Linked DNA regions of Caenorhabditis elegans. The protein of the gene in region 1 purifies or fractionates together with the protein of each later gene. This does not show direct contact. Each region holds a gene or a part of one and is shown on either strand. Other genes may lie near its edges.

Region 1 (16,098 bases):
GTACCGTTGAACCGTTAGTCCAAAGAACGGGTGCCTATAAAAATATATTATTTCAGAACAAAAGAAATGCTTGCCAAATCCTATGTCCGCCCGGAACACAATTCGAACGACCCGATCGATTTCTGTCCGGATCTGCCGAAAAAGTTGTTTGACGAAGAGGCGTGGAAGTTGCGTATGACCAACAAAGGAGCCAACCGGAACGAGGTGTTCCTCAATAACCGCCCGTTTTGGCTAACACGTGACGGCACCGAGCAGATACCGAAAGTTCGAATCCAGCTGCACCGCCCGTTGAAACAAATGCACAGCGGAAACCCGGCGTCGATTCAGCTAAAACTTCAGCGAACCGATCCGTTTTTGGATCCAAAGGAGGACACGTTGGAGCGATTGAAAATAGTTGATAAGGCGATCGGAGTGGATCCGCTGGATTTAACAAAGGATCGGGAACTGAAGAGAGTTTGTGCGAACACTTTTCATGGGACGCTGATGTTTGAAGTTGATAAGCGTCAATACGATACACAGCAGAAGAAGGTAAGGAGCATGGGTCCTGGCGTGAGCGAGACTTTCTAGCTACAGTATCCGCGTTATGCTGTTGGAAAAATATGAATTGTGTCTACCGTAATCCATGGTATGGTAGCTGAGATACTCCAGATCATAATTCTCAATGGAGCGCAGCTGTTTTGCAATTTTTGATCTAAAAATATCTCAGGAACAATGAATTTCAATTTTTCACTACAAAAAATATCAATAGAATGCACTTCCCGACAATTTTTTTTGAAAATTGTGTAATATTCTAGGCAGAAGCAGAAGCATTGAAGCTGGACCCAAAGCGGAAGAATGATGGAAAGGAAAAGGATCAGAAATCGTCGTTTGAAGACCCGAAAAAAGTAGCGTTTAATGTTTCCGACAAGTGTACCTTGCACGTATATTTTCGGTACTAGAATATTTTTTAATTGATTCGAAACATTTAAAAATTTCCAGAAAACACCGCCCACTGACAAATCAAGGGAAAAGCGAACGTTTCACGGAGAAGAAATATACGATGGGCGAGAGGAAGATTATGAAGAAAGGGGAAAAGCCTGCGGTGCCACAATTGGTACCACCTACGTCATCATCCACCACATCTGCTTCTTCTTCGTCATGTAGAGAAACGAAAAAGCTCTGAACTCTTGTTTTTCTGAATAAATTGTGTGCTGATTAGCTAATACATCGAATCTGACGCGCAAATTTTAATATTTTCATCGCTTCTTTTAGATACGGTGGCTCTGATCTTACATATTTATTATTCTCTCAAAAGATTAATGGAAATATTAAGGAACAACGGAAATATTAAGGAAGGAAAATAAAAAGAACAACGCATAGTTGGAAGGAAGACGTACAGAATAAATTTACATGATTTAAAAACAAAAGAAAGAAGAAACATGCTTCAAAGATAAAAAATTTTGGGTTAAAAAGTAGAATGTCTCGAGTTATTAGTATAGAAATTGTTGCAGACGTTCCGTTAAGCGATATAGTAATAAATAAGAAAGCATTTGTAAATTTATACATCCCAGACAGTCAAGGAAACATGCATCTTGTTTGGTATAGATTCTTCTATAGTGACTGTTGCAGCAGTTCCCTCCTTATTTGTAATGTCGAAGCCATTTTCGAGTGTGTTTGGGAAATACTCAACAAAATCTTTTAATGAGCTAGGCAAATGTGACATTGTTCGGGTAGATGAAGCTCTCTCATAATCAATTCCTTTGAGAATAGTTTTGACGGACAATTCTCTGTCATTAAATGCGGGTTTTCCTGATAAAAACAAATGAATCAATCTTTCATTTGATCCATTAATCCAATGTTTTAGAAAAATGCTGATGTCTTTCTCGTTAAACTTCATATATTCCAAGTATGCAAAACTACTGTTATTTAGTATCAAATCGTTCAATGTGATATTGCACAAAAAACACTGACTTGCGTTGAGCAATTTGAAATTTTGAATTATTATTTTGTGGCCTGGTTGTGAGGTTAGATACAGCTTTTGCAAAAGCTGTAATTTGTCAACCTTGGATAACTGGTTTTCAATAATGCTTTCATTATAGAAATAATCCCAGAAAACAATTGAATATGGAGTAGTCAAGGAAATAAGACTGACATTCCGTTCCCAAAATGTCTGAGGTAGATTTTCGAAAATGCGACAATCACGGTTCATAAAGATGAAAAACACTTCAATTTTTGATGTGTTGAGAATATCGAATAATGCCACATCAAGTAGTCCAAAGTAAAAAACATCTTTTCCCATCTTTGTTTATACATTCTTCGTCTATTTTCTTGGACGTTATTTCTTTCCTCGGAGGCTCTGACATCAATTTGAAAAATATCTTGATTTTGCTTTGAATACTCGTCACAACGCACAAGATCCAGTAAAACGCGCGACGTACGGAAAATTATGCGAATTTTATTTGTGTGAGCAAATGTGATTTCAAATTTTTGAAACTTTATCTTCAACGACTGTACAATCTTCTTTGTTCTTTTCGAGCAAAATGAAAGTGAGAGTCTGCAAAAATCAAAACTTTAAGTTTTAATAATTTTTTTGAATCAGGGTAGTCTAAACATTCAAACTATTTGATAAACAAATTCAAAAATGGACTGTCACTTGTAGGTTTTTAGCTTGAAAATGCTAAAAAGGGACTCCAATATTCAATTTAAAACAAAAAAGTCAGGCTGAGCACGATAAAAATTACTCAAAAACTCAAAAAAAAAAAAACGAAAAAGTGGGTGGTACTAAATTCTGGACAACTGGGGACGGAAAATCCAGAGAAAGAAAATCCGGAGCAACTTAAGATTTTGTTGAGATAAGAATTGCGAAAAATCTAAATTCATCCAAAAGCTTAATCAGTAAGTTCCAAAATGTTCAGACCGAAAAAATGATAAAAATGTTTGTGAAACTTACAAAAAACAGTGTCCATTGTTTGTAGAACATGTTTTTTAGCGTTTTCGGGTAGCAACAGAAGTGGGAAGTTAGATAGAACCATGATTTTGGAGTCGCAGGTAGAACTGAAAATATTTGTTCAAGTTAGTCTGAAAAATAACTGAAAATACACTAGCAGACAGAGAAAGAGAGAGGGATTTTTTAAGAGTAACAAAGACTATTATTGGATAAAAAGAGCAAATGGTTTAGTATCGATTTGACGTTGTGAATGGCTACATTGGCCATTAACTGTGTATAGCCATCCCTGTCAGATTGACCCTATGCCTTAGATTCCTATCGAGACACACCTGCTCTTTCTACTCTGCATTTCCAGAAATAAGTACATACAAATTATTGTGAGACCTGTTCAACTAACAATAAATCAATTCAATTGTATTTTTCAATTGGTTCATAGGACCTATATAGGACTAAGACTTGGAAAAGTAAGAGAAAAAAGTTTATTTATTTCTTCTCAAATATTCAAAATTTCAAAAAACAATCAATCACAAACAAAAATCAACATATCAAACAAACAATTGAATAGTGGAGGAGGAAGCAACAAATTAAGATGACCAATTGGAACAAGTCCGTGTTTTGGTAGAATGCAACTACTATCTTTCTGAAAAAACCGTCATTCTCAGATAAATCGAACCACGCAGGCACCGCTCCAAACCACGCAGGTGACTGCCCACCACGCAGGCAACGCGTCAAGACCACGCATGCAACCAAAAGCACGCAGGTGACGCCTAAGAACCACGCAGGCGACTTGACGGTGTGCAGCTATTGGCAGTGGCTGCAAAACCACGCAGGTGACGCCTACATACCATGCAGGCAGCCAACGCTCAGCCACGCGCGGGATTCCTAGGCCAATGGCTGCGTACTCCTCTTGAACAACTTTTTCTTCTATTTTTTTTTCCTAATTTAATGGAATTTTCCGTTTTTTTTCTTGCAAAAAGCACTTTTATATTAATTTTCAATGTCTTCATGAAACTCAATAATTGTTTTCAGGTTTTCAGGTATCAGTAAGCTATTCTTGGCCATATTTTTTTAAACAAAAATTTTCAGGCGTTTTTTACAATATTCTACATGCTGTAGCCGGATTCGAAGGACAGTTCCCGAGTGCGGATTTTGGCGATGTTTTCTCCCGACAGGTGGATCAAAAATGGTAAACACCCTTCTATCAATTTGTATTTCCAAAAATCAATAATATTGCAGCTTGAACGCACGGAAAAAGATGAGCCAGGAAAAGGACACACCATCGCACTGATCACTGGGACGAAAACAACTGCCTAATGGACTTTATTTTGCTTCCCACCCTTTTTTTGTTGTTATTTTTGAGATTTTCGTTGTTAGAATATTGTAATTATTCATCAATTCGTTTTTTGTTTGATTTTATTAGGAATTTCATCACAATAGTCAGTTTTCTGTACATTTCGTGACTTTTTTGGTGTTTTTTTTGTTTTTTAGTTAATAAATAAACAATATTTTTGAAAAACAATCGTAATTTGCGTTTTAGTTGGTTAAACGGTAGGAAGGGGAAGGAGCGGGCTGCGAACTGCCATTGCTGCAAGACCACGCAGGCGTCGCCTCCAAACCACGCAGGCAACGCGTTGAAACCACGCAGGGACTGGCATTCTTGAGCGTGGTTTGTACGCGTTGCCTGCGTGGTTTGGAGCGGCGCCTGCGTGGTTCGATTTATCTCAGTTGACGTAACCCAAAAGAAAGAAAAAGAGAAGCACATGCATACCTAACGAATATTAAGTTTTCAAACAAGCAACCTATAAAAGACTAGGAATTGCGGGATTTCCCAAACTTCTTTAACTTTAAATTTAACATAAAAAATTAAACATCGGAAAATTATTGGCGTGCGTGGGATGTGTATTTGTGTGGGAAGTGCCGCGTGTCAAAACACCGTTTCGGCCAAAGGGCTCATCAGATTGCCGAGGTGATTAAGATCGCACCTTATGGGGAAACATTACAAATTTTGGGTCAAATTGAAGGAAATTTATTCAGCTATCAGTAATCGTTAGAAAAATGTACGTATGACTTGGCAGCCGCGCGAAAAGCTCATGTAAAAGAGCGCTTCACGTGTTACCATACTTTTGGCGCACCCTGTATAAACTGTCATGTGGAACGTGGCTTATTTTTTATTTTGTTTTTTATTCAAGCTCCTCCCATTCCTGACATTTCGTTGAAATTTTCATTGATTAGTTTATTTAAAAAAATGGGAGGAGCTTAAATAACAAACAAAATAAAAAATAAGCCACGTTTCACATGACAGTATATTTTGATAATATTTCTGTTTCAAAAAGCAAAACAAAAAATTAATGATAGTAATATTCGGGAGTATGGGTGCGAATTCCTCGAAAAAAAACAATGAAATTGGAGATTTTGCAGAAGAGAGCTAGGAAGAAAAGAGGAAGAGAAGGAGGAGAACGCGGGGAACGGTTGGGAAAAAATGGGCAAAAATCGACAGAAAATAGGACGAGAAAAAAATGCAATAAAAAAGTTTGAAATGGAGTGGGAAAGGGACTTTTTCGTTTTCGCGTTTTCGTTTTTTCGTTATTTTCGGGGTTTTGACGAAAACGAATTTTTTCGTTTTCGTTTTCGAAAGTGTTCGAAAAACGAAAATAGAACGACTTTATTTAAACTTGGTTTTTTCTCATTTTTTTTTGGAACTATCGCCGAAATTTTGCTCTCCGGTGTGGATAGTATTGAAAAATCAATTATTTTCTCCTCAAACTTATTACTGAAGATCAACTTTAAGAACAAAAAATGCAACAGTTCTCAGTTTTGGATAAAAATTAAACGACTCTTTTACGTCAAAATAGATTCATTCATTTTATGACAGGACGTTTCCTTGTTCAAACGATTTGTTAATTGGTCATTAAAACATACTTTTTTCCGCTGAGTTATATATAGGATGTAGAACTTAATGCCTTTTTCGAAAATAAGGATTCTACTGTAGCTCAATTTTTAATCTGAAATCGTGTTTTGAACATTTTAATTAAAGAAATAACAAATTAGGCACTTTTTGACTAATATCTGATTACCGTATATTCTCTATCAGTGCTGCATGTAACACTAATTTCCAGGCGCTTTTCGAATCCAGCACTATTAGAGACTGCAGTACTACTGGAGATGCAGCACTAATAAAGAATATATGGTAATTTGTGAAAAGTTTTCGAATAAAAAGTTTGAAAAAATTTCGACATCGGAAATTGTTTTCAAAACAAAAAAAAAACAAAAATTTTTAAGTATCATCAAAAATTTCTTACTATTAGATATTGCAGAAAAAAGTTGTATTTCCTGCTTGAATAAATTTCTAGCCAAATTCAATACTTTCGGTAAGGCAGCCCAACATTCTTTGGAGCTCTGAACAAAGAAACGTCCTATCATATTATTTACATATGCATCTTTTTTGAAAAAGTGAGTTAATGAGCAAAGTAAGTCAATGAGAGAGAATTAAATAAGTATTTGCCAACAAAAAAGCTTTTGAGGCAACATATGGTCTAAAAACCGTAAGTACAGTTTGTGCCATTTTCGTTTTCGTTTTCGTTTTCGTGTTTTAAAACGAAAATTTTCGTTTTCGTTTTCGAAAATGGAATTTCGAAAAAGTCCCAGCCCTGGTGGGAAAATGGGAAGATAAATATGAAGAAATGATTTGCCCCAAAAGATTTGGAAAATGATACTGTTCTAAAATTATATTTTTTCGAAATTTTTTTATTCGCAAAATTAAATTTTTGAATTGCCACTAGGGCTCACAGTGGTGAAGGTACACTCAAAACTTAGCAAATGACACTGTTTTTTTAGATGTCTTTTTTTAGATTTTCTAATGAAAACCATTTAGTGAAAAAGTTAGTTATCTATTCAGTTGAGGAATTAATAACTCAAAGTGATTCTGGGATGTATATACAATACTGCTGCATTTCTCACAACTTTATCTCGACCACCAATTTTTTTTGATGAAAAACCATCAACTAAAAAGTTGTACTTCAGATTAAAATAATCAACTTTGTAGTTGACAACTTTGCCATAAAATTTTTTCCACGGAGATGTAAGCATCCAAAGTGAACTCGATTTTGGAACATGTTCAACTATACCTCAGGTTTTTGACTGAAATTGTGTTCTGAACATCCAAAGTTTTTTTCAGAAAATTTAAATTTCCCGCCAAAATGTTTTTTATTCAGAAAATTTAAGTTTCCCGCCAAAAAAGTATTCTTCAGAAAAGTTGAATTTCCCGCCAAAATGTTTTTTAGAAAATTTGAATTTCCCGCTAAAATGACTTTTTCAGAAAATTTAAACTTCCCGCCAAAATTATTCTCAGGAAATTTGAATTTTTCGCCAGAAGGTCTCACCACGATGTGTCTACAGTATAAAATCTACAGTAATCCTACAGTACTCCTACAGTACCTCTACAGTACCTCTACAGTACTACTACAGCACCCCGACCATGTCACTCCATTAACCCTAAACCAATATCCCTTTACCAACCGTGGACCGCACCTCCGGCGCGGCCCCCGACTTCTGGAGCTGAAAAGTAATTTTTCTGAAACTACCGTAATCATACAGTACTCCTACCGTATCACTATTGTAATACTACAGTACTCCGATTATATCTGTACACTAACCCCAACTCACAATCCCTCCAGAAGCTAAAACTTCGCAGACTATAAAGACTACATACAAACTATGAACAAACGGAATAAGCGCTTTGTATATATAGTAAATGATAATCCAAAACTTTGCACACTACAAAGCCTGCATACACTACAAACTCCGGAGTCCGGACAGACTAACTGTATTTTTTTAAAATATAAGCAATAATGATGCTGAGCATCAAAGGGATTGAGCCATCGTTAGGGATTGAGCGTTCAAGTGAAGGAGCACGCTAGTAAATGAGGGTTTGCCCCGAACCGACGCCACCCACCGAAGAAGACGACCTGGACTTCAAGTCCTCTCCACCCTCATTACCACCATCACTCGCTCCTACTTCAAAAAATGAATGCGTTTCAGCATATTCCCTTGTTTTCTCAAGAAAAAATCATAAGAAACATGTTTTTTCACTGCGAAAAAAAATTGAATATCCAGAAAAATTTCAATTATCAGCCTCTTCTCCTTCTTTTCCGTCGACACGCTGCTCGTGAGTACTCTTCAATAGATCGTAAAGTGTACGAGCACGTTTCAAGTTCGAGATATCGTACGAATCCAGTGAGCTCTTCATCTTCTCCAATTCGCGATGAGCACTATCAAGAGCACTCTGTGCAATTTCGTTGGCTTCTTTGGGAAGATTCAGGACATCGAAGTTTAAGGCGCTTGCATTGAGGGCAAGTCCAAGGCGAATTGGGTGAGTTGGCTGCATCTTGTCCTTAGCGATACCAAGAGCCTCCTGAAAGTCATTTCATTTACATCAAGAATTTAGTTATTCAAATACCTGATAAGCGATTCGCGACTTGTGTGCATGCTCTTCTCTGTTGATATCGTCGTATTGGACCAGATACCTAAAATGGTCGGCGACCATGCCACCGAAGAGAGCCTTAGTTTCATCATTTAGCGCATAGTCTCAAGCCAAACAGGCGGGGCAGTTCAAAAATAGTTTGATATATAGTTTGATATAGTTTGATGAATAGTGGCGTGGAGTACGGTTTCGCGGCAATTCAAATACTACTATTCTTGAGACCAGACGAATCGGACGATTAACGGCGGCGAGGGATTCGGATCGGGGGAACCCAATCTGTGGGACGGGCCACGCCCACGATCAAATTTTGCAACCTCCGCACGGTTCTATGGGCGTGGCCAATCCCCCGATGTCAACAAATTTTAAAAAAAACCTTCCCCGATTTTATAAATATTTCAGCTTGAAATCGCGATGTTCATTTGCGAACTCGAGGCATTTTCGAAACGTTAAATGTTCCCGCGCAATAATGCTCCGCTGAACAGTGCACGCTTTTTGTGTAGATTCATTTAAATATTCATTTTCCGTCAGATTTCATGTAGAAACCCAAAGATTCGCTCATTTCGCTGCTCGATCTTTTCTTTTTCTTCATTCAACCGTATATTATATGCATTTTTCGTTTAAACGTTTTTCAAAAATTTTTAAAAATTGCTTACAATCTTCTTTGTAAAAAGAATATATTTTGCAACCAATTTTTTCGATTCTCCATGGAAAACTTATCAATTTAAACTGCATTCACTGTTACACTGATAATGCTTTGAACGACGGCGGTCGGAGAACTTCCAACCGATTACTGTTCTCCAATTTCATGTTTCTAGAAAAAAAGAAATTTCTGTCGTTTCATAACATGTTTTAACACGCAGAGCCTTTTTTTTTCGAATGAACCGCCATTTTCTTTAAAGGCGCAAGCTATTCCCTCTGCGCGATATTTCGCCGCGAAAAAAGAAGCCCCGCGAAAAAACGTATTCGAACCGCGGAATTTCCGCGAATTTGTTGCTGGTTTCTTCTAGAATTCAACGATTCAATGCTCATTTCATCACAATTTTTTTTTGTAAAATTATCCTTCTCGCTTTTATGCTCCTCTTGCCCTCAATTTTCTGTCTAAAAGCTATCATTTCCTCTGATTTCTTCCTCGATTTTCAAATGTTGGCCCAAAATAGTGATTTTTTCTTTAATTATATCCTAATCCCCACCAACACGATTTAGCAATTCTCGAAAATTATTTTTTTGCGTTGTTCAGGTAAAAGTCCTGACGAAACCTCCTGAGTTTTGTGTAACGTGCTCACCGAAAGATTAGTGTGCTTGCTGCGCCCGTTGTCACCACTGCCATTCATCCTTCTATTCCCGTGTTTTCTTATCAAATGCCCAAAAAATCTGAAATTTTTTGTGTAGACAATGCTATATATGAGGAGCGAATGTGTGCGCCAGAGAAAAAGACGGACAGACACAAATTGAGTGAGTGTGCGTTGCCCACTTTAGTTGTTGTCATGCGACGGCGGCGGCACGCGCTCTCTCATCGGCCGGCACTGCTGTCCATCGATTTTTCTTCTTTCAAACGTCGTGCGGGCTGTTTCGAATGTTCTAGGGCTCTCCGTTTCGATTATTACTCTCGCCTATGTTCTTCTCTTTTCGTTCTCAATATTTCATTATAAATTTTGTTTCAGAAGACTTGCTCACTGAAAAAATGTCCGATACCGTGGAAGAGCTCGTTCAACGCGCCAAGCTTGCCGAACAAGCCGAGCGATACGATGATATGGCTGCCGCCATGAAGAAAGTAAGATAAAACATCATTTACGGAGGTTTCAAATTTACTATTTTTCAGGTGACCGAGCAGGGACAGGAGCTTTCCAACGAAGAGCGTAACCTTCTCTCTGTTGCCTACAAAAACGTCGTCGGAGCTCGCCGTTCATCGTGGAGAGTTATCTCTTCCATTGAGCAAAAGACCGAGGGATCCGAGAAGAAGCAACAACTCGCCAAGGAATACCGCGTCAAGGTAACTACACCAAGCAAGATTTTATTAATTTCAAGAATTTTAGTAACTTATTTACATTATTTCAGGTTGAGCAAGAACTCAACGACATCTGCCAAGATGTGCTCAAGCTCCTCGACGAGTTCCTCATTGTCAAGGCTGGAGCTGCTGAGTCGAAGGTCTTCTATCTCAAGATGAAAGGAGATTACTACAGATACCTCGCCGAGGTCGCTTCAGAGGATCGCGCTGCCGTTGTTGAGAAGTCCCAGAAGGCTTACCAGGTATTTGAAAATAACTAAATTCTTGATGTAAATGGCATGACTTTCAGGAGGCTCTTGATATCGCTAAGGACAAGATGCAGCCAACCCACCCAATTCGCCTTGGACTTGCCCTCAACTTCTCTGTCTTCTACTACGAGATCTTGAACACTCCAGAGCACGCTTGCCAACTCGCGAAACAGGCTTTCGATGATGCTATTGCTGAGCTCGACACGTTGAACGAGGATTCGTACAAGGACTCGACCTTGATCATGCAACTTCTACGTGACAATCTCACTCTCTGGACATCTGACGTTGGAGCTGAAGATCAAGAGCAGGAGGGAAACCAGGAAGCTGGAAACTAAGTACGATTTCAAAATGTTTTATTGCCATTATATAAAGCTGACCTTTTTCCTCTTTTCCTTTCACATCAAATCTTGCTTCGAAAAAATAGTTTCGGTTTTCAGAGAGCTGAACTCCGTTCTCTTTCCTCGCATCTCTTCAACTTTCAGTTATCCTCCAACATTTCCGGTACGTTAGCCGAGAGAGTTGCCTAATCACCGTTTTTGTTTTAGACTTAACGTATTCACCAATACTCCATACAACACTGCGCAATAGCATCATGAAAGAAAATTCGGTCTTCAAGTGCTCTAGATCTCCAAGCCATAATTCTCTTCATGCTCTATTTCGCTGTAATTCACTCCGTCACTATTGTCATTCCTAAAATGGCGTATTGTTCTATGATTATTATGTGCTGTAAAGTATAATGAACCCCCATCTTCCATTTTTCTCTTATTATCCCCGATCTTTATTTTTAGATCTTTTTGAACATAAATGTTTGGTGAACTTTTCCGGTTGTCCGAATTTCATCACAACTTTCCAGGAGTTTTTCGAGTAATGGAATGGAATTTATTTTCAGATTTCGATGAAGGAGCATAAATAGGATAAAACATTTGCATTAACCTCTTAGAAGGTCTCAACACGAAAAATTAAATGAAATGTGAAAAAGTGTGCGCCTTTAAGCTGCCGAAAATTTTTTGATAGTTTCTTCCACGATTCGTTAAAAATTAAGTGTTTTATGGTAACATTTGAGTGTTCTTTTGAAAATAAATATATTCTTTGTCGAAAAACTATGAAACATCGATAAAAATTCCGCAGCAATAGAAGTTTAAAATTACAGTACTCTTTAAAGACTCACACCTTTTTGCGTTCAACAAATATTAGACGTGTCGAGACTAAGTACCGTACTTTTGGCGCAAAAAGCTCAAAATTTCGCTCCTGGGCAATATAATTTTCGGAAAAAAACTTAATTCTGGAGACTTCATGTGTTTTCACAGATCATGACGAGACCGATTGAGAAACATTTGGAAATACATTTTTCTTCAATATATCTTCAAAGTGGCCGATTGTATGTGATCATACGGAATAACGATGGATGTGTTTTGTGCTTTTCGGCAGATTTCGAGCTTTTGAGCCAACAATTTTCAGCGTTGTGGATGAAAAAACATGTCACGTTGTTTAATCAATTTAAAATCTTTAAAATGTAATGACTATTTTTATGGACTGCGCAGTTGCCCCATGTTGAAAAAAGATGTCAATTGCAATTACATTTTATTTTCCGTATAAGTTAAATTCAATAACCCAAAGTTCAAAAAAGTACTATTTATGAGTATTATCACGTGGTGTCAGAATGTCCCATGTCGGTTTGAACTTCGAAATATGCGGGAGTTGAGACGTAGACTGACGTCACATTTTTCTGAGAAAAAGTTATCCGCATTTTTGTAGATCATACCGTTATGGGGCAACCTGACACCACGTGTCTTATTCGAGATCCATATTTGAGTGAACACCCGGATAAGCTGGTAATCGTCTTTTCTTTTCAATTATGTGAACACTGATATGAATAATTTATTAAATAATTAATTGATTGAAGTTTCGCAGGGAAGCTGAGGCTTGCTGAGCTCTAATTCAGCGTTCAACACAAAGTCGGCTGGTTCTGAACGAGCTAGGAGAACATAGACTGTGTTGGCTACTGTAAGTGTTAAAGCATGGATCAGGAAGTAGCTGGTCCATGAGAGTTCAGCTGAAAGTGTTGAAAAAGGTTTAGTTTAGAAAGAGAATGAATTGATACTTACAATCTTCACTTCCCGGAAGCACAAGAAGAGAAAAAAGAACAGGTTCGAGCAGTGTTGCTAACGATTTGAACAATTGAATATACCCGATGACAAAGTAAGAGAATTGTCTGAAAATGTTCATTCTTGAAATTTCAAATTAATTTTTAAATCGCCTTACCTTGATATCAAAGCGGCGCCCTTATAGAATCCTCCACAATTGAACCCGAATGAAGCCTGATAGAAAGTGATGCAGATGACGTGTAGATATGGATGCTCGCGTGGCAGCAAGACTACGAGCATGAGAAAAAACGCGGGTACTTGCAATGAGATCGTGTTGAATAACCGCAACTTTGACTTTTCCGGCAGTGTACGAATACGATCGGACGCGATACCGGCGAATACTCGAACACCGATGAATAGATAACCTTTCATGGAATTCAGCCATGCATTAGCCTGGAAATTCACAAAATTGAGGGCAAATATCGGTGCAATATCGGTCTTTATTGCAATTTCGTGAAATTTTGACATGGCACTTTAAAGGCACACGCTGTTTTTCTCAGTGGGTCTCGCCACGCTCTCAACCATTGTAGTCGCTACAGGTACCAAATGTCATAGAATTGTTCATTGGATGTGGAAAATTAAGTTTGCCCCGACGTGCCTGAACACAAATTTACCTGAATATCCATTCCGAGGTATTGATAGTATTGTGCACCATATACAAGAAATACAAAACTGGCAAAAATATCGGCGAACCCGGCAACCCACACGGCCCAAACTGACTTGTCGGTGAGAACTTCTCGATACGGAGTCTTTTTTGTCTTATCTCTCTTGGTTCCTCCACCAATGTGTTGAAGCTCGTGATGTGTCATTAGGCAATGATCTTCCGGATCGTCACGATAGAACAAGAACCAGATGATTGTTGAGATGAAGAGAATTATTGAGAGAATATAATAGATAGGTCGCCAGCCAACATTTGATGTTGTCTGAAATATTATGAATTTTAAATATACCGTCTCAGTGCAATAACCTACCCATCCTGCCAGTGGCAACTGAATTACAGCTCTTGCCGCAGTGAATCCACTCAACGCAGCCAGTGACATTCCTACTTCTTTGATAGGCGACCACTTTGAGCACACGTATCCGACAACTCCAAAGTCAGCAGAGTAGAGGATTCCTTGGAATATCCTGAATACAAGTGCTACATGGTAGTTCGTGTCAAGAGCCCATGGCATGAAGGCAGTGACGACGGCACAGAGCAAACTGGCAAATGTGAGGACAAGACGGGGTCCATATTTTTGCATTAGCACATTCTGAGGATACATTCCAATGAGTGAACCAATTGCCATCGCTGAGATCAGACTGGACTTCTCTTCTAATGTGTAGATGTAGATCTGAAAATTTATTGTTGATGCTAAGGTTCAAAAATGTTACGCCTGAGTTTTATGGGCTAGAAGACCTGATTTAATGTCTAAGAACCAGAGTTATGCGGACCATTTTTGAGTGAAACTTTTCATGTAAATTTAGAAAAACACTGATGAATAATTTGACAAATTTCAAGACTAAATGTAAGTTTCTCTAAAATTCTCCAAAAGTTGCTATACGGCAAGGCACATTTCGATCAGCATATTGCGACGTTGACACAGATTTTGAATAACTTGTAAAGTGTACTACTACGTTTATATAGGGCTTCCATGGCTTGCCTCAAGCCGGCATGAAGAAAAAGTTAAGATGTGTTCTAGTAGAAGACATGGGTAAAGGCGGTAAGCAGTCGGAGGTCGCCTTAACGTCCGTCAGGAAGGCGTTTTGGCGCCTACATGGAAGCCCTGCGTTTTTAAACCAAAGTTCACCTAAAAACATCGTCTTTAAATTGTTCGAAAAAAATACTCCGCGCGGATTTTCTAGAACGTAAAAGTATAGAACTTTAATCTCAGAGCAACTGTTGCAAGACTTGACCTAATCAAAAATAGCTCTTGATCTATCGTGACCTCTCTTCCCCCACTTGCAAAACTTTCTAAGAGCAACTGACCTTTCTATCGAAAGGCACTGCCCCGATTTCAATCCATCATATCTTTTTTGTGGTCCATTTTTCTTTCATTTTTCTTCCCCGTTTCTACTAATGTCTTTTTATTCTACTGGTCTCATGACGACAGACGGGGGCGGTCATGCCACCAGGAAGAAAAAACTTTCAAAAAAAAATCGTTCAAAAAACCCAAAAAACTCACGTCATCTAGACCTGCTTCTGCAGCAATTGTCGAGTTCTTTTCCATATAAACCATTGAAAAAGAGAAGACGTCGACACAGTTCATAACACTTCCTAACTGTAACCATGTGAGTATAAAAATAACCCATCTGATTCGATGCTTCATGGATAGATTCCATCGGAATCTGAAATTGAGTTATTAAATCTGAAAATAGTTTAAAATTCTATAATACCTGTGGCATCTCATCTCAAGGTTTCCGAGTAGTATAGGTGATGTGTTCGGCACCGAACTGTTCTGAAAAAAAGTTGAAAGTTTATCACATTTTGTATGAATTTTTTGTCGCAGTGCATAACATTTTAAGCCGCCTTTACATTTACTTTGTCATCAGGACAAAATGGAAAGCGGACGAGTGGAAAAGAACGGATAGAATCACCATTTGTTTCATACTTTCCAGAAAAAACAATTCTTATTGTTACGGTTGACTTTTGATGCTCAGAGGCGTTTCCTATATTGAGCAAAAAAAAAAGAAACATCAAAAGGAACCGAAACTTTTATTAGTTTTAAAAAATGAACTCTGGTAAAAAATGACTTGGAATTTAATAAAGTTATATTAGTTTTGAATGTGGAATTTATTGAAAAAATTCAGATTTTAGTTGGCAACTTCTGGAGAAACTTGTTCTGTCGAGGCGTGATGGGGCACCTCTCACCTGCCTCTTGCCTATAGGCAAGAGGCAGGTATACGTTTATCACGTTAGAGGATACGTTAGAGTATACGTTAGAGAAGTAATTGTTTTAGAACACTCTAAGGTGAAAACTTTTCAGATAATTTTTATTTTCTGTCTGACAATTCGTTTTTTTTGTTTTGAATAAATTTGGAGTTTTCAAATTTTTATATATAATAGTTTAAAACAATTTCACTGAAATTGGCAATTTCTTAAAATTGTGTTGAAAAAAAGTATCCCAAAGACAGTAGGCGTAAAAGTGCTTATCTGCCTCAAAGGTCGCCTACAAACGGAATGTGTAAACTAAAATGTGTCTAATAGGCGGTAGGTAGGCACGAAGGCAGTTAGGCCGGAAAACGTGCCAGCCTACCAATAAACCCTTACTGCAGCAATCTAATAACCTTATTTGACTTTCAGAAAACATAATCTGAAA
Region 2 (17,017 bases), on another chromosome or scaffold:
AGGTCTGGAAGTGGTGGTGGGGGAGGGAGGGAGATACGGGGGGCAATCGTCCAAAAAAAGAGAGAAAAAACAGAAAGGAACGGATGGAGGAATGAGAGAGAGGTTGTTGTTGTTGAAAGTGTCTTTGTGCACACAACAACAACAACAAATCAAAAATATGCGTGTTCATTTTCACAGAAAATTAAATAGGGTTAACTGTCTTTGTGCCAAATCTGAAACATTTTCAGCAATGGATCAATCATAGATCAATGTACGTGAACTTCATCAATTTTTCAGCACAAGTACAGGTTACCTTATTCTGCTTGTCCTCGTCGAACAACGTAATGGACTGATTGAGAAATAACTTTTGGTCCTTTTCAACATTCCTTGGAAACAGAACTTGCGGGAAAGATCAGAAATTAGATCGATTGATTTGGAGGTAATCAGATGATAGACTGAATGATGGAAGCCAAGGACAAGAACGATGAAAAAAAAAGAGTAGTGTTCTTTTGATGAAGATAAAAAATGAAACCAATCGAAGAAGGTTGATCGCTATTCGAATTTCATTCGATACTCTGCGGCGATTCTCTTCACATTTTACTGCTGATAAAAACTCGTCTTCTAGTTGGTTGTAAAATAAATGATAAGAGCACAGAAAAAGTGATGGAGAAAAGACATAATTTAGCAAAAGTGAAAGGAGATCACGATTTTAAGAAATGTGCACTTTTAAAATTACTGTCGTTATCCGAAAATAAATGAAAATATCCAAAAGTTCCCTAGAACACGATGTCTTTAGTAAAATTGAAAGGAATTCAGCTGAAGACAGTGAGTGGACAGGGAAACACTGAATGATTAAGGAATCGCAAAAAGTTAATTCGAAATAAGTGAAAATCGAATGACATTCGCGTGACATTGCACTTTTGATTGTAAACGATCAGAAAATCCCCAATAGAGAGAAATCAGAGAAAAGGCAGAGAAACTGTCATCGAAAAAAAAAATGGAAGGAGGGAATTGAGTGAGAGTATGATCATTAAGGCGACAAGTGAAGCGACATAGACATTCGTTTTTTTGATAAGAATGATAAGAGCGCAGGACAAGACGAAAAAGATGTAGAATAAGGCGAAGAATAGAGGAAGAAGCAGCGTTTAGAGAGTTCGAAGTGGTCACTTCGCTTCGCTTCGAATTATGTGCACACTTTGATTAGTGAGCCCTGGTCATTGATTATCAACTGATGAAGATTATTTCCAGATTTTCAGGGAAATGCCAAAAAAGTGACTGTTTCAGTAAAATGTTCTTCGCATTAATTTAGAGCATAAAATCTATATCCTACAGTAACCTTGGATGCCGTAAACTCAAAATGGGAGAAAACGACCGACATACGCAGAGGTAAAAAGGGATGACAAGAAGAAACCCGAGCATTTCCAATTTCAATCGAGGTTTTGAAGATTTTCAAACCACAAATTTTTCTAACAAAGTTCTACCAAATTGATAAATTTAGATCAAAATGGATTCATAATCTGATAGCTCATATAATATTGACTCAACTAAGGATTAGCCAAGTAGAGGGTGGGGGATTTGTTGCATGAGAAGATTTTTCAGAACATTTCAGAGGATTTGGAGGAAAAAGTCGAGGAGATATAAGCCCTGATATTGAACTAATGCGCTTTGAGCAGAAAATGAGATTTACGCTAATAGGATTGCATTAAATGGTACGTGCACGAGAAATGTAGGAAAAAAGAAGAAAAAGCGAAGATCCAAAACCTAAAAATCACTGTGCTATATGGAATTTCTCCAAATTTTTTCGTCGTCCTGTGGGGAGAAGAGTGAGATCAAACTGCGGTGGCGGGGGTCGCGCGCCGCGCTATGGTCACACTGACATTGTGCGGTAAAAATCGCGAGTAGAATGGGGGAAAAAACGAAGAAGTGTTCGACTGACTGACACAAGAAGAGAAAAAAAAGAGAACCGCGGCGACAAGGGATAGAGAGAGGGAGACGGGGCGCCGGGCGGCCGTTAGGCCATTGGCGTGGCAAATGCAACACGGAGAAAACGATGGAGTAGTTAGAGGAGCGGCGGCGGCGGCATGGAATGGGCAGAGAACTGTCGAATAGTATAGAGAAATTGGAGTCGCAGCGTGAGAGAAATGGTTGGAAAATGGAAAGGAGAGGCACACGAGACATGGGGCGCGGCGTCGGCAATGTAGAAGATGAAAATTTAGGATGAATGAATGGATGAGAAGGACAGAATTCTGAATTTCCTTTCCAAAAATCATTCGATCTCACGGTCAGTTTCATTATTAGATTTGATGAAAAAAGGTTTTTTCCAGGTGAAATTGTTTCTGAGAAATCTCAAAATACAGGTGGTATTGCATGACATCTCCACCTCCCATGAGCGTGCCAAACTCTTGAAAATTCAAATGCCTCTAGGAAATATAAGGGTAAAAGTGCATCTGAATCAACAAGAAACACAAGCTTTCCAAGAAAAAGAGATGCTCAAGTTGAATTCAAATTCTTCTCGTTTCCCTAAAAGACTAGTCTCATAACTAATTACACTCCTCTTCCTCTTTTGCTCCAACGTCTTCTTCATCCTCATTCTGCCTCCTACTCTTCCGTCGTCGGCTCTCTTCCAAACGCCCTCACTTTCCCAGATTACTGGGACACGACGTCTTCATCACTCTACGCTGCTTCGTTAACTTAAAGAAGAGCACTAGAAAAAAGAAAATGAAGAAGAATAAGCAGCAGTGGCAAGAATAAGAAGTGAGGAAATGAGTGAAGAGTGTTGCTCTTTTTTTTTCTCACTTTACTTACTGTGATTAGCCCCTCGTATGGAGATTCTTGAGTTGATGAAGCAGAGGAAGATCATCTGATTCCAGTGACCATCCATGATGAACAACTTGTTCCGGAGATGCTCAATGATCTCTTTTGGATCTTCGAGTTTTAAGGCATCGCCTAGTGTTTTAGAGATCATGCAAAGGATTATCTCAAAATGAGCTGCAAATGCGGCTCAAAAGTTTCAATGAAATAACGGAGGAACGTATGAGGGCTGTAGAGATACAGTAATCGGATACTTTAAATTCCGTTTCCATTAGGATCTCAAGTCTAGAACCGCCGCCGCTGAATGACCTCAAAGACAGACAAGACTATCTAAAAGGTAAGAAAAATTGTTGGGAAAAAAGTGAAGAACTTTACTGCAATGTCATTTGATGGACACTGCTACCAGTAAAAACAAGTTCCATCTCTCTATCTCTCTCCTCATTCATTCCTTCTTTTCCATCGTCCTTTTCAAGTATTGCGTCGTCCACGGAGGGGTGCGAACGAATCGAAGTTAAGAATCAGATCTTTTCTATTCGTTCCGACAGGCAATGTGGGTGGCGGCGGCGGCAAAAAGTTTGCAGTTACCATAAAGATTTATGCCAGATCGTCGAGTAGTAGAAAGGGAAGCGGGAAGAGAGAAGATCTTTCGATTATCAGCAGGTGACCCATTAAATATTGTTTTACGAGGGGAGGTATTGCAGTTTTAGTTTTACGAGTACGGTACTTGAAAGTTCTGGTAACAGATGCTCAAATTTCGAAGCCGTAAACTTATCTAACACCGAACACCACAATAATTGAAAGGCTCAAAAACAAATGAACCCAATCATTTGGTTTCTATTCGTGTGAGCGGTCCTTCTTCGTTTCAGTTAGTTGATGGTAATCCGACACCTCTGGCTTCTGAAGTCTGCACACACACACACAATCGTCAAAACAACTCTATTCGTTTACTCAATTTCAGTTTCTCTGTTTCCAATTCGCCACAAAAGACAAGAAAAACGACGAGAATGAGGAACAAATGTAGAGAATAGTGGGAGACACCAGACTATTCCAGGAAATGAAATTCACCAAAGATTCGAGGAAAATCAAATGAACTTTCTTTTTTTTTCGTAGGTGACCTTTTTTGTGTACATAATCTAGATGATGGAACCATTCACATGAAAAACAAAAAAGCGAAGAGCAACAGAACCATGGCATTTGAAATGCAATACTTCCACCATTTTCAGATGGAATGGATAGTGTGTGTGACTCATGACTCACATCGTCTGGAATTCCAATCAGCTCACTCTTTTTTTCCAGCTCTATCCGTCTCGGAATCTCCAGAATCGAAAATTCGAGATGTGAGAAAGAGTGAAGAGGAACAGACATTTCAGCTGCTCATGTGACATGGGACCTCTAGAAAAGCAAGGGCGTCAAGCGTTAACGGCGTCTCAAAGTGTTCACTTGGTTTCCTAGAGTATACCAAAAGATGGGCTCTGGGGTCTGAGCTTTTTAAACTTTCAAGAAGCTCGAATAAAAATAGAAGAAAGTGCGTTGACTGACGAACAACGAAAAGCTACATGTTTCATAGAACATGATGGTGTGGAATGGATTTCTCATAGAATGAAAATATATTGAAAACTCGATGTGATCATACTCATCAGAAGGAAGGAAGAAGCATGAGCAACATGAAGTAGATGATCTTAATCCTTTCATCCTCTCATCATTAACGTCATCATAGATTTCACGTTGACATTAATCAGTGGGGAAAAGCTGGAAGGAGTGAATGGAAGATTACGGAGAAAGCTTATAACATCAGAAGAACGTGGGAGTCACGTGGTTCCGTGAACTATCAACTTTTTAAGCTCGATGAGTTTCAGATAATCCAATTTACAGAATCCTCAAAGAAGCGAACACTAAGGTGATAAACATTTTGTTAATCTTTATCCGATGTGCCCATCATCAAATCTGTTGAATGATTTGAGCAAAAAAAAGACGAATCACATGCTCATTTCATCAGTGTTAGAAAATAAGGTGATCGTTGAGAGACGAAGGCAATCGGAGAAATAGTTGAGCACAGATCGGAACCGATAGCATTGATAGATCTGTGTGTGTGGGATCCAAGAGGTTTAGGGCTCAGTGAGCAGTAAGAAGGATATTGTTGAAACAACTGATAAAGAAGATTACAGTATTCTAGGATACATTTTCATATAATTTTCTTCTTATCTCAGATGGCTAGATGGAAAATTCGAGACTAGAAACTTGAAGAAGACTGATAAAACTATTCCTTCTTATATTCTCGAGGCACGTAGACATCTAGACACTCGGCAAAAAAACCTCCAGGGAGGAAAAAAGTACATCGGTATTCCCATTTGGTCTCGTTTTTCGATTCTCTTCACAAAAATCGAGAGGAGACATCGCGAATCGAACACGGGGGAAACCGGTTTTCATTTGCAGAGACAAAAAAGGGAAAGAGATAACGATGGCGACGACGACAGGGGAAAAATGTTGCGAGAGTAGCGATGTTGGACAAGTTGCTGCAATATTTTGCACTGAATCGCGAAAAAATTTGGTTAGGATTTCCCTTTTTGTGATGAATTCATTATATGAATAACGTCATTGGAAGACTTTCCGACAAAAGAAATTTTTTTTTTGAAAAAAAAAGCGTTCCAAAATTCCGAAAAAAGCGAACTTCATGTTCCCCGTTTTCACTTTTATTGGGTTGTTTTTCAGACAGACACATGCCAATACCATTTGTGTGTAAAGTGATGGGTTAAAAAGTCAACAATGATTGCGGGGAATTTTTTCGTTGTTGTTGGTTTCAACAATATTTGAATTCCAAAAAAAAAGGACCAAAAACTATAAGAGCAATGTATAACAAGAGTTTCATCGGAGTAACAAGAAACGGGAGTGTGCGGGGAGAAACAGAGAGAGGGCAATAACAAAAGTGCAAAACCAAGAGAGAGTCTAGTTCAAGTGCGTTATTAGTTAGCAGAAACCTAAAGATTTTTCGTGGGAGGGGCTTTTTACAGTAATTTCAGATTATCACATCATCTAGTTTACGCCTAGAACTCTGACCTTTGAAACTGTTTTTTTAATAATTTATTTTCAAAACAGAATATACAACGTCACTTGCCGTTTTTGTTCTTTTTTGATTTTTTACATGAGAAAGAAAAATCGGTGTCAACGCGTCTGACTGACTTTTATCTTTTGCAGCAGGCAATTGATAAAGACGCCTGGCAATGTATGATGAAATGATCAAAGACTGTCAGTATGTTGACAGTCAAAAGGAGCTTGATTATATAGCGCAATGGAGTGGGAAAGATTTCGTGAGAGTACAAAGAACAAATAACTCAATGGTAATTCCGATAAGCTAGATCTAACTGATATTTTTGGCCACCAGATTTTCAGGTCGACTAAAAAAAAGTGAGGTCTCGATCAAATTTCACTGAAAATCAGAGCGTAGGAAGGAAGAAGGACTAAAGGCCAAAACAAACACTTTCACTTTCACCAGAGAGAGGAGGCAGCAAAAAAAATCACAGACAGACCGTGAGTAGAACACACTACTTTTTTTCCTTTTTTTTCGACGCGAGTCTATCCAGACAACGAGACACTGAAATCCAATGGGACGTGTATAGTAGGAAGGCTGAGTGGAATGACAATTAAATTAAAGTACCGTACTGTGTGAAAATGGTCGATATTGTAGAGACTCTTAATTCAAAAAAAATTGGCTTGGGGGCACAAGATCGCCAAAAAAAATATTTTCGATATGATATTCCCATATTTAGAATCAACACTTAATTTTAAGATGTAGAGTTAGTTAAAAATTCCAAATATAAAAAAAGCGACTTTCAGGCGTTGCCTGAAACTTTTCAAGCTTTTTTAATAAAGGTATATGATTTTCCTACATTTCTGTTTTAATTTTTGATTCAAAAAATTTGAAATCATACAGGAATTACCAGTTCTGCCAAAAACCTCCTTATTTCGAAAATTTGAATTTTCTAAAATGGAACCATAATAGGTACTTCGTTTCTGTTCTCTGATTTTCGACCTATCGTCTGTTCTAATCAAAAACCCCGCTACAACAGTGTGCAAAAAGTGCACTTTTCCGTTCTCAAATACCACTTGCTCTCTCCCTTTCTTTCAAATGTTTGCCATTTTGTGCTTCCTTCCCGTAGAGAGAAGAACAGCTGATGTGACAGAACAGAGAGAGAGAGACAGAGAGACTCTGTCTGGCAATACAGTGAGGGAGCAAACGCGTGACAGTTTTCGACCTCTGAACGTCACACCGTATACAATGTTGCACACAATGGTGAGTAATTGTTGAGACGGGCGACGACGGTTTTTAAAAGAAATGGGGTTACTGTAGAGAGAAATTATTTTTAGAACGAAAATACGATTTCTGTCTTTAAAAAAGTTGAATCAGAAACTCATGATATTAAAGTTTGCATCAAATCTAATTTCCAAGCAATCAAAAGAGAAAAGAGAAAATAGAAAACCTAATCACCAGTTGTTTGCAAACTGCAACTCCGCGAGAAAAAAAAAGAGAGAAAAGAGTCAAAAGATCGGGGAAACCCCTTTAAATTCTATTTGCCTCTCCTCCTCACATGCACGTGAATTTCCCGTGTGCTTAGTGGACCAACAGCTGACAATAGGCTTGTTGGCCTATAAAAGACGAAAAAGTGTTAAATGATTAGAAACAAAAAACAACTAAAACAGTGATGACATCAAAGGGTTTTCCCTTAAACAAATCTCGAGGTCAGCAACAATGAGAGAAATCACTTTTGATTGTGCCAACCGATCGGAAATAAAATGGAGAAATTGGAAGAGTAACGAAAAAAAGAAATTTCGATGATCAAAAATCAGAGCGAATGTGACAGATAAAAGATGACGCGACACGACCACAAGAATTGAAAAATCAGAAACAGTAAAAGGTCAGCTGAGACCTAAAATTGAGAAAAATTCAAGGCCATTCGGCATATATATATATATTTCTATATATTTTTTTGTTCTTTTTTAATTTAAACATTTAAAATTTTGAAATTTTGAAATTTTAAAACCGAGGCTTGTTCACAAGCCAAAACTCTTTCAAAAATTGATAAAAAGGGCAAAAATCATCAACTTTTATAGCGTTTGTCCTTTTTCCACGAAACAATGCTTTTAGTGCAATTCGACTTTTATGAACCTTCACAAACCACCTAAAAATCTTAAATTTGGCGTACCTAGTTCTTCCGCTGTCAACAGTCTCTAAAGATGTGTGGAAATACGGAGAGAACGAGCATTTTTCGCGAAGAAATTGTTGAGAATACTGGGTTACTCCGCCAAAAGAAGCCGAACGCTCTTGTTGATGGAGGTCGAGATTGAAGAAATCATCTGAAAAAAAAACAAATAAAATTGGAATTTACAACTTTAAATCACGAATTTACCGTCAAAATCAGTGGAAAAACTCATTCCGGAATCAGGCCTTGCCGGTTCGAGATTGTGCAGTGTGATGTCAGATGGTAGCGGCGAATCGAGCTGAAAACTGGGCAAATTAGACGAAAAAAGCGCGCTTTTTTGATTTTCAACTGTAAAAGCTGTGTAAACTTCCACGATTTCGCACAAAATCGGGTTCAAAACAACTATTTTTAGCAGCGAAATGAAGAAAAATAGGGAAAAATGATTGGAAAAAAATTTCGAAAATTTGAAATTTAAACTGCGAGTATACGGTAGTTCTCGATGTGTGTGCAAGGTGTTTGCGTATGCGGCGCCATACCTCACGACAGTTCCACGCTTGCATGTCCTGTGAGAATTTTTGCAGAAAATTTCGGCACTTCGAGCAATGTAATGAAGACTTTTGCTGCAAATTTTAGTTTGATTTTCAATTTAGAATCATAATTATAAGCAAAAAATGTTAAAAACCTCGAGTTGCATCATTAAAATACAGATAGAAATTGAATAGAAGTTACAATGAGGAAATTAATTTCAAATGAAACGTTTTTATTTTGGATAATTTTGAAATCTTAACTAAAAATGAACATTTCCGACGTCTCGAACTGATAAAAAGAGAGAGAGAAGAAGCTTATTTTGACATAAAATGTGTATAGAGGAAGATTTTTTTGCAAAAAAAAAGTTTCTTATCACAATCCATTTTTGCCCACTTTTCCACCATTTTTTCCATCACATGTTCTCGTCAAATGATGGAAAAGTAAACCGATATGTCTTTCCTTGAGAAATAATATGAAGAAAAAAAAAATAGAAAAGAGGACATTGGGAATGCTTTTTTTTCTCGTTGGTTGGCGGCCGGCGACAGAGGTTTCAGAGATCAACTTCTGAGCGACCCCATGCGAGAGTTGTTTACGAGAAAGTGCAAAACTGTTTTATGAACTTTGAGACGGAAAAGAAAAAGGGGAAACGAAAAAAAGAAGATATAAAGCGAAAAAGCAGCAAGCTCGCCCCAAACGAACTCACTATTAGGAATAAAACATGAGTTTTTTAAAGAGAGGAAATCGTGAGAGAAGATTTTGGTAAAAAAATGATTTCAAGAAAAAAAAATCAGAGTTCGTAAATCTACACTGTGCAAACACCGGAGTTTACGAAAAAGTACAGAAAATATGAAGGTTTCAAATTCAAATTTTTTAATTAAAGAAAGGCGAAAATTTCTTTGAGCTGGAAAAACTTTGGAGAATATATTATATTTTTTCGAAAAAAAAAATATTTTTCTAAAAGTATATAATATTAATTTTGGTTTTTTTTTTCTTTTTTTTTGAGGAAAAATAACAGTTTCTTACGAATTTTTTTCATAAATATAGCAGAAATGTAATTAAAATTCGATTTTTTTTTGTAAATTTCCTTGAAATTCTGTCAATTTTCCTTCTTTTTTTTTGAAGAAACACCTTTTTCTAAACATGTCGTTAACAATAGTTCCAAAAAATTGGATTTTTCTCGTAAAACTTCGAAGCACTTTGGTTATTACGGGAACACAAAGTTTTTAGAATGCGTATTGCAAAACATATTTTACGCGCAAAATATCTCGTAGCGAAAACATGACTACTGTAGCGCTTGTGTCGATTTACGGGCTCGATCTTCGAGATGAATTTTATTAAATCAAAGGATTTCGAACATCGAGCACGTAAATCGACATAAGCGTTAGAGTAGTCAAGTTTTCGCTACGAGACATTCTGCGCGTCAAATATGTTGTGAAATACGCATTCTCACAAGTTTGTGTTCCCGTAATAGAGTTGCCGATTTTTTTTAAAAGTTTTCTAATCTCCAATTTTTGGCAATTTTTTTGCTTTTCAAAGAAATTTTTTTTTCTTTTTTTTCTTTTTTTTTTTTTTTCATAATAAAATTGCGCGTAAAATTAGATGCACTGACTCCACCCCCACCAATAGATCAAACTATACGCGCTAAGTCTTTTCAATCTTTCTAAACAATCTTTTGCTGCATTTTGTAAATAACTGAAAAAGAGCAGAAAACATGCAAAACATAGAAAACACTCATGTTTTTCACAAAAAAATAACTTTTCAAAAAACACGACGAAAACTATTTTCAATTTGCTACGTTCTATTTTCAATTGAAAACGATCAAAAAGTGTCTCTTACATAATCATCTGACGGTTATTTTCGTGGATCATCATCAAAACCCACCTGTCTTTTTCTTCTTCTCCGGGCACAGGAGAAGAAGAGGAAAAGACTTACTGAATTGTGTGTTAAAGTACACTAGACAGAGAAACAAGTCAACAAAAACGGGCGGAGCCACACATAGATGCCTCGTCATTCACGTGCGACCCTTCTTGCGCCCCGCTCGCTCTCTTTCTCCAAAAAGTGATCGCTTAAAATAAGAGATCACAATTGTGGCGGCGGGCGCCAATGTTCCCGCCGGTTGCCCTGTGATCTCCGAAATTCAAACCATGAAACTCTTTTCCATTCTTTTTTGTGTATGTCTGTTTCAAATTGTTAACAGAAAATGTGATAAGGTATCGGTGTATGATCCACTAGAAGGGTCTCCCCATATGAATATAATGTGAACCTATGTTTTTTTGCAAATTTAGTTTGAATTGTTGGGGAATGGGTATCATGTGCCTTTTCGTCTGCAAAATGGGTCTAGACGAATCGAAAAAAGAAGAGAGATACACTCTCTAGCAGATGGGCCTTCCCCCCACTGAATTTCAAATTTAGCAGGTGACCGTTGAGATGTACTGGGCCCGTTTTTTTTTCGAATAGAGGAAGTGAGGGATGGCTTTCGGGAGATAAACAGATGTTTTCACTACGGTGATGCACATTTGCTCTACCGATATTACGGAAACAAACAATTCTATTAATGCGTATTGCGCAATATATTTGACGCGCAAAATATCTCGTAGCGAAAATCACTGTAAATGACTACTGTAGCTCTTGTGTCGATTTACGGGCTCGATTTTCAAATTTAAATTTAAAAAATTTCGAAGGAAAGTGAAAAAAAAAGTTTGTTCTCGCAGTTCGAAAATATATTTATTTCAAAAATCGAGCCCGTAAATCGACACAAAGCGCTACAGTAGGTATATAAAGGGTTACTGTAGTTTTCGCTATGAGATATTTTGCGCGTCAAATTTGCTGCATTCTCAGAATTTAGTGTTTCCGTAATAAAAAAACGAGAGAAATAGGGGAAAATTTAAAGATATGCATGAAGTACGGTAGTTGAAAATTTTTGAGCATGTCAGGACCGAAAAGTTTAAGAAATCTTTTCTCTTATTAACTAGAGTTCCAGAAAAAAATTTTTTTAATGAAACTATACTGTAGTTTTCATAAAACTACTGTAAAACTGTCAACTGGCAAGACCACCACGGAAGAGCCAAGATATTGCACTAAAAGGATTTTTCTATTATGTTGTGAAACTTGAAAGAAAGAGATTCTGGTCACTGGTGTTTGAGGCTTGAACACAATTTTTGCAACAAAAATCTCCTGCTCACCAAGAGAACGATTCGTAAAAGAATTGAAATGTTCAGTTCTTGAAAAAATTTTCAGAGAAAAAGAAATGGAATCGGGAGAGTCAACCCTCTTATCAACTAGAAATGAATTGCAAAAGAGACAAATCGGGAATTCGAAAATAAGTTTGAAACATATTTTTTGCGTCAACACTTTAATTCGAAAGTTCACATCGTTATCACTTTTCTAGGGGCACTTTTCGAGCCGTCTCTCTTTTTGAATTTCTATCACCAAAGGTAATTGCTTTGGAGAATTTGAATTTTAAGTTTATCGTGACGAGACCCATTATTTTACCTTTTTTGGAAGAATTTATATTAGAATTTAAAAAAACCTCCAAAATCCCAAAAATTCTGAACATTGGCCAAGCACATTAATGTCGTCTTGGGGTCAGAGATTTTAGTGTGCTCAAAAATTGAGAATATCTCTGTCATTTTTTTCTTGAGCTCTGGTTTCTCAAGAGAACATTAAATTATAAAAAATTGCGTGGTTAATATGTATCACGAGAATTGCTTCTTTTATGGATTCGAAACATTTTCTTGTGATCTTTAAGCTACGGCATTTAATATAGTAAGTTTATGAAATCATTGGTCATCTTAAAACATTTTTGAAAACAGGAAAAAAATTTAAAATTATCTGCCTGCCACGTGCCTACTGCAAAGTGTATGCCTGAATAATTTTTTGCAGTTCTACTATTTCCTATGAAATCAATAAGAAACTATAGTCTTCTTTATACAATTTCTTGGAAATCAAATATTTTTCTCCTACTTTTTATGTTTTCCAATGTCCGACCGCGCCGGCCAAAAAAGATGCACTTTGCCGTAGAATGAAAAATCAGAAAATTGGCCTTGACAAATAAAATCTGCTGGCGGCGGAGAATCTATGGGGTCAGCGAGTTTATGAGTACGGCAGAATGCGGCAAGAAAACAAGAATAATGTCAGAAAGTACACTGCAATTGGAACAAGGCCGCAAAATTATTGTATTTTCATGTAAACAAAAGTTTGAGAAAGATGATTTTGTTTGAATTTGAGTGAAAAATGGGGTGATTGGTAGCAGGGGCATATTTTCGGCAGAAGTACAAAAGTACCTATTTCAGTAAAATTTATATAAAACTGTCGAAAGAGGTCTGGTCAATCTGAAAATAATATTTATTTTTGTTAAAAACTCGAAAAGTACCTTGCCTAAAAGTTGGCGTTAAATTTATTCCGGCAAACGGCAACTTTAAACTTGAAAATTTATTTCAAAACCTTTTTTTTGGAGGTAGAGTTGGGTTTTCGTTTCAAAAAAAAATTTGAAAATGTTTTATTCACTGTTAAAAAGTGACAATTGCTCAGTTTTTGCTACTCATAATTTTGGAAGTCGACCAAAAAAAATTTCCTACACTTTTAATACTGTTATTTATTTTGTTTTAATTACTAGTATTAAAACATTCAAAGTTTTGGCAGTTTGCCAAAACTTTGACCGGAAATTATGAAAAATCTAAGTTCTTTGAAGTATAATAGACAAAAGCCCTACTGGGTCTACTCCACCTTTAAAATTAAATTCTGAAATTCCTCTAAAAATTTTTAAACCCAAAAAATAAACTAAATTGAAATCTATTTTAAATCGTCAAGAACCAGTAAAACCGTCATCACTCGAGAAATACCAAAAACCAAAAATTTCCAGTCAAAAGCCACACTTTGAATTTGAAATCGAAGGAGCAAGAGGGCAAAACAAATAAACAGTTCAGTATATTGTCACTGGCATCTCTCATTTCTTCCTCTTCTTCTTCTCAGTATTTACTTATTTTGAGACATTTTTTTGTGTACCCCTCCCAGAAACAGACACCTCGCCCTCTACCACCATCACAGACTATTTTTGTTTTTTGACCGCGTTACTATAAAATAAATAAATAAAGACATCTGGGTCTTGGCACGAAACTGGGAAGAAAAAAACCTTGGCTCTTTGTTTTTTCATACGAAAACTTTCACTTTACTGTTGCGGAAGGCAAACATATGGGAAGAGGAGACCGATGGGGATTCGATTTCAATTTCAGGAAATAACAATTTATTTTGGTTTCAATCAGTCTGGGAATACTATGAGAGCTGTGGAACAATTGTACATTCCATCCGGTGAGGCGAACTGGTGGCGCCTTTCGCCTGCCTCACTTCCACAATGTTAATGGAGACGCATTCTGGGCGATGGAAAAGGTCTTGTTGTTTAATAAATATTGTAGAGTTGGTGGGAAAATTTCAAAAAAAATGAATCAATCACCTAAATTTATAATTTAATTCTTATATTTTTTGAAATTGGAATACGGTAGTAATTTTATCTCTTTGTAGATAGGCGCTGTGAAGAGGGACAAAAACTCAATTTACCGTACTCCTATCTACATTCTACAACAATTTTTGAAGGAAAAATAAATGGGCGAGGATTTCCAGCTCTCAAATCTGAATAGTACATTTACTCCTGAAATTTAATAGGTTTTTTAATGTTGTAGAACAATTGATTTTATTTGCCTTCTTACAAATGTTTATTTGTTGCAGTTGTCCTCAAAAACTAACATGGCTAATATTGAAAAATTCTTACAGAAAAATAATAATTTTTCTCCAAAAAAACATTTTTGAAAAAATTGAAGAAACATTAAATTATAAAACTTATAAAAGTTATAAAACTATTTAGTATTTTATTATGTTTTTAAAACAAAAAAATTTAATAATTATAACCAGTATTTTTTCTTTATTGGATTTCAGACATTTAAAGTTAATTCGGTGTGTTTCCAGTTTAAGAGAGTAGGCTTTTAAAAAAAAATTCTAAAAAAATATTAATGATATTATTTAATAAAAACCAAAATCATTCCCATACAATTGTCTTTCTTTTTAAAAAAAACATTTCCATCTCGAATGACTGTTTTTCAGCTTTCCAAAATTTTAAGAGATATCTCTAATCAATACACAAGATTATGTTATCACCTCGAAACCTTTTCTTTTGTTCATCTAAATGTACTGATCCATATGACGGAAAACAAGAGAAATGACCTAGAAAAACTCTCACTCTTACTTATTTTCCCCTTTTTCGTTCTACGTCTCCAGAACTTCTACGATAATAAGTGACAAAAATTCATAACTCTCCAATTAATATGACTAGATTTTCAGGTAATTATATTGATTAAAAAATAGATTCTTAAAGTATATATACAAATTTAATTGTCTATGTTTCAGTAACTCGCTCCTTGTATCATTCAATATTTATTGGATTATGTGTCTACATTCTATTTCTATTCAATTTATCAAAAACACGGTTGACACCTGAAGAAAGGCCAGCTACGTACATGAAGAAAAATGTATTTTATCAATCAGGTGAGTACTCTTTTAAATGGAGTTAGTAACCCGGAAGGGAACTGTGTCGGATTCATAATATTCAAAAATGTTAAAGCTAGGTTATTAATTTGCGCGGAAATTCAAAAATTACAAAAAATTGCAACTGAAATTTTTTTTAATTAAGAAAAGGAGTGCTTTGGAGTTGGAGTGCTGCTCGCAATGGTTCTGAAAATATTTTAATTTTTAATTTTCAGGAAACGAAGCAACTTTGGACAACTGTCCATGGCCCATATCAAATGTTGAAAATGTTATAAATAGAGTTTCAGTTTTGGAGAATTCCGGAAAGAGATATATTTTCTCAGATTTCGGTTATAGTCAAGGTAAGTTGAAAGTTCTAGAATCACAATCAAAAACTTTTAAGGAATTGGAAATTTGATGTTCCAAGTGGCTGGTCTTTTATCAATTGCTAGAGAAACTGGGTCAATACTTTTAATTCCATCAACAACTACTCTCCGAAGAGCATTTGATTTTGAAACGACTTTTAATGATTCAATACAGTTTGTTGGAGAGGATCTGAGTAGACAGCTAGCAGAAGACCTAAATGCATCAAAAATTACTTTGACTGTAAGCTTACATTTTTTAAGATTTCCAAAAATTAGACATTTTCAGAGCTGCTGTGCCTACCGTAATCTTAGTACCATACTTTTCAATGATTCTCGAATAATTGAAAGAATAGATGGATATTTCCAAAATTTCCGTTATTTCCATCCGGATTCTCAGAAAATTGTTAAGAAACTATTCACTTTTATGGATCCTGTAAGAAAAAGGGTTAGTTTTTGGAATATAATATACTGGAATATACACCCAACAAATCACCGAAAAAAACCGGAAAAATCGACAGTTTCAATTTTCAGTTTTGTGACTTTCCAACTACGGGTAAATTTTTAAACTTTATGTAAAAAATAATTTACGGTTATTCAATTTTTCCTGAAAAATCATCTGGATAAAAGGCGGAAGGTAGGTCGTGAGGCGCCCCAGGACCATCTCGCCCAGATAGAATATTTAAATTCAATTTTTAAAGGTGGACGAATTTCTGGAAAATGTTGGAATTTCTTTGACAGTCCGAAATGCAAGAGTTATCGAGACAAATGTGGCAAATGATGATCAAGCTTTGGAATTACCTGAGGAAGATGGTACGTTTCTATTTTATTTTGCAAATAATTTTTAACTAAGCCACATGTTCTCAAAAAACAATGGTAGAAGTTATTTCAAAAGGTGGTAATTAATTAAGGCGCAGGATATCAAATTTTATATTTTCTGGGTAAGAGCCGTTTTTAAGATGATAGTCCTCATTCTTTTCAGTAAAAATATAGTAGGAGAAATACAAGAAAATTCGATGTAAAATGGAAAAAAAATTCAAGATATGGCGGAGCCGAATTTCAGCTTTTTTGCGATCACCATTTTTATTGTTAAAAACTTTCTTTTGCATATTTGTGAAAGAGAGTTAAAACTTAAATTAAACAACACAACCAAACAATATATCGATTGATTCAAATTTGGAGTATTTTTCCCCGATTTTTTTTTGTGATGTCGTGCTTAATGTTGATAGTTACGTTACCATGTAATGTTCTACATAATCTAAAATAGACACCGCCAAATTCTTGGCTATTCTTAAATTTTTTAAGTCGACAGTTTCTGTACTCAACTTTTTTTGTTTATTGTACTTTCCATTATTTCTCAGTGGAACAGGAGGCGACAAAGTAACAGATAACTTTTAAGTCTTCAATGTAGGCATAAAAGAACCTGCCTACTTCATGCCTACATGCCTGCCTACATGTAAATTACATGCGAACGTTAAAAAATAAACTTTCGCTTTTGGTATCTGCTCATTGTGGATTTAAAAAAAAAGATAAATTTCTTATTCCAACTACATAGTTTATTGGAAGCTAATTTTATAACGTTCGCATAAAATTTACATGTAGGCAGGCTCTTTTCTGCCTACATTGAAA

What was found.
Region 2: the proteins of par-5 (region 1) and daf-16 purify together in Caenorhabditis elegans (affinity purification with western blotting; 3 studies listed by BioGRID, with this or other methods). This does not show direct contact.

What each region holds. Positions count from the first base shown.
Region 1 is NC_003282.8:11,815,886-11,831,983, reverse strand, and holds par-5 (14-3-3-like protein 1), read left to right. Parts: upstream 1-10,066; 5' UTR 10,067-10,086; coding exon 10,087-10,176; intron 10,177-10,224; coding exon 10,225-10,395; intron 10,396-10,460; coding exon 10,461-10,652; intron 10,653-10,699; coding exon 10,700-10,993; intron 10,994-11,095; 3' UTR 11,096-11,159; intron 11,160-11,203; 3' UTR 11,204-11,478; downstream 11,479-16,098. Other genes in the region: M117.4 (LEDGF domain-containing protein), read left to right, coding at 1-13, 57-528, 795-931, 979-1,162; M117.6 (uncharacterized protein), read left to right, coding at 3,872-3,963, 4,013-4,112, 4,163-4,240; M117.3 (14-3-3 domain-containing protein), read right to left, coding at 8,046-8,336, 8,382-8,468; M117.1 (Major facilitator superfamily (MFS) profile domain-containing protein), read right to left, coding at 12,548-12,711, 12,764-12,870, 12,921-13,195, 13,417-13,725, 13,774-14,133, 14,965-15,127, 15,176-15,237. UniProt on the Caenorhabditis elegans protein: Required to modulate lifespan, in concert with hcf-1, acting redundantly with 14-3-3-like protein ftt-2.
Region 2 is NC_003279.8:10,742,160-10,759,176, reverse strand, and holds the start of daf-16 (Forkhead box protein O), read right to left. Parts: upstream 8,680-17,017; coding exon 8,668-8,679; intron 8,615-8,667; exon of another isoform or gene 8,606-8,614; coding exon 8,522-8,605; exon of another isoform or gene 8,472-8,521; intron 8,284-8,471; coding exon 8,193-8,283; intron 8,140-8,192; coding exon 7,989-8,139; intron 6,759-7,988; exon of another isoform or gene 6,620-6,758; intron 6,112-6,619; exon of another isoform or gene 5,965-6,111; intron 2,033-5,964; exon of another isoform or gene 1,974-2,032; intron 1-1,973. Other genes in the region: B0205.4 (L-Fucosyltransferase), read left to right, coding at 14,828-14,843, 14,910-15,047, 15,263-15,388, 15,430-15,632, 15,678-15,836, 16,090-16,201. UniProt on the Caenorhabditis elegans protein: Forkhead-type transcription factor. Binds to the promoters of genes that contain the daf-16/FOXO binding element (DBE), TTGTTTAC, in their regulatory region.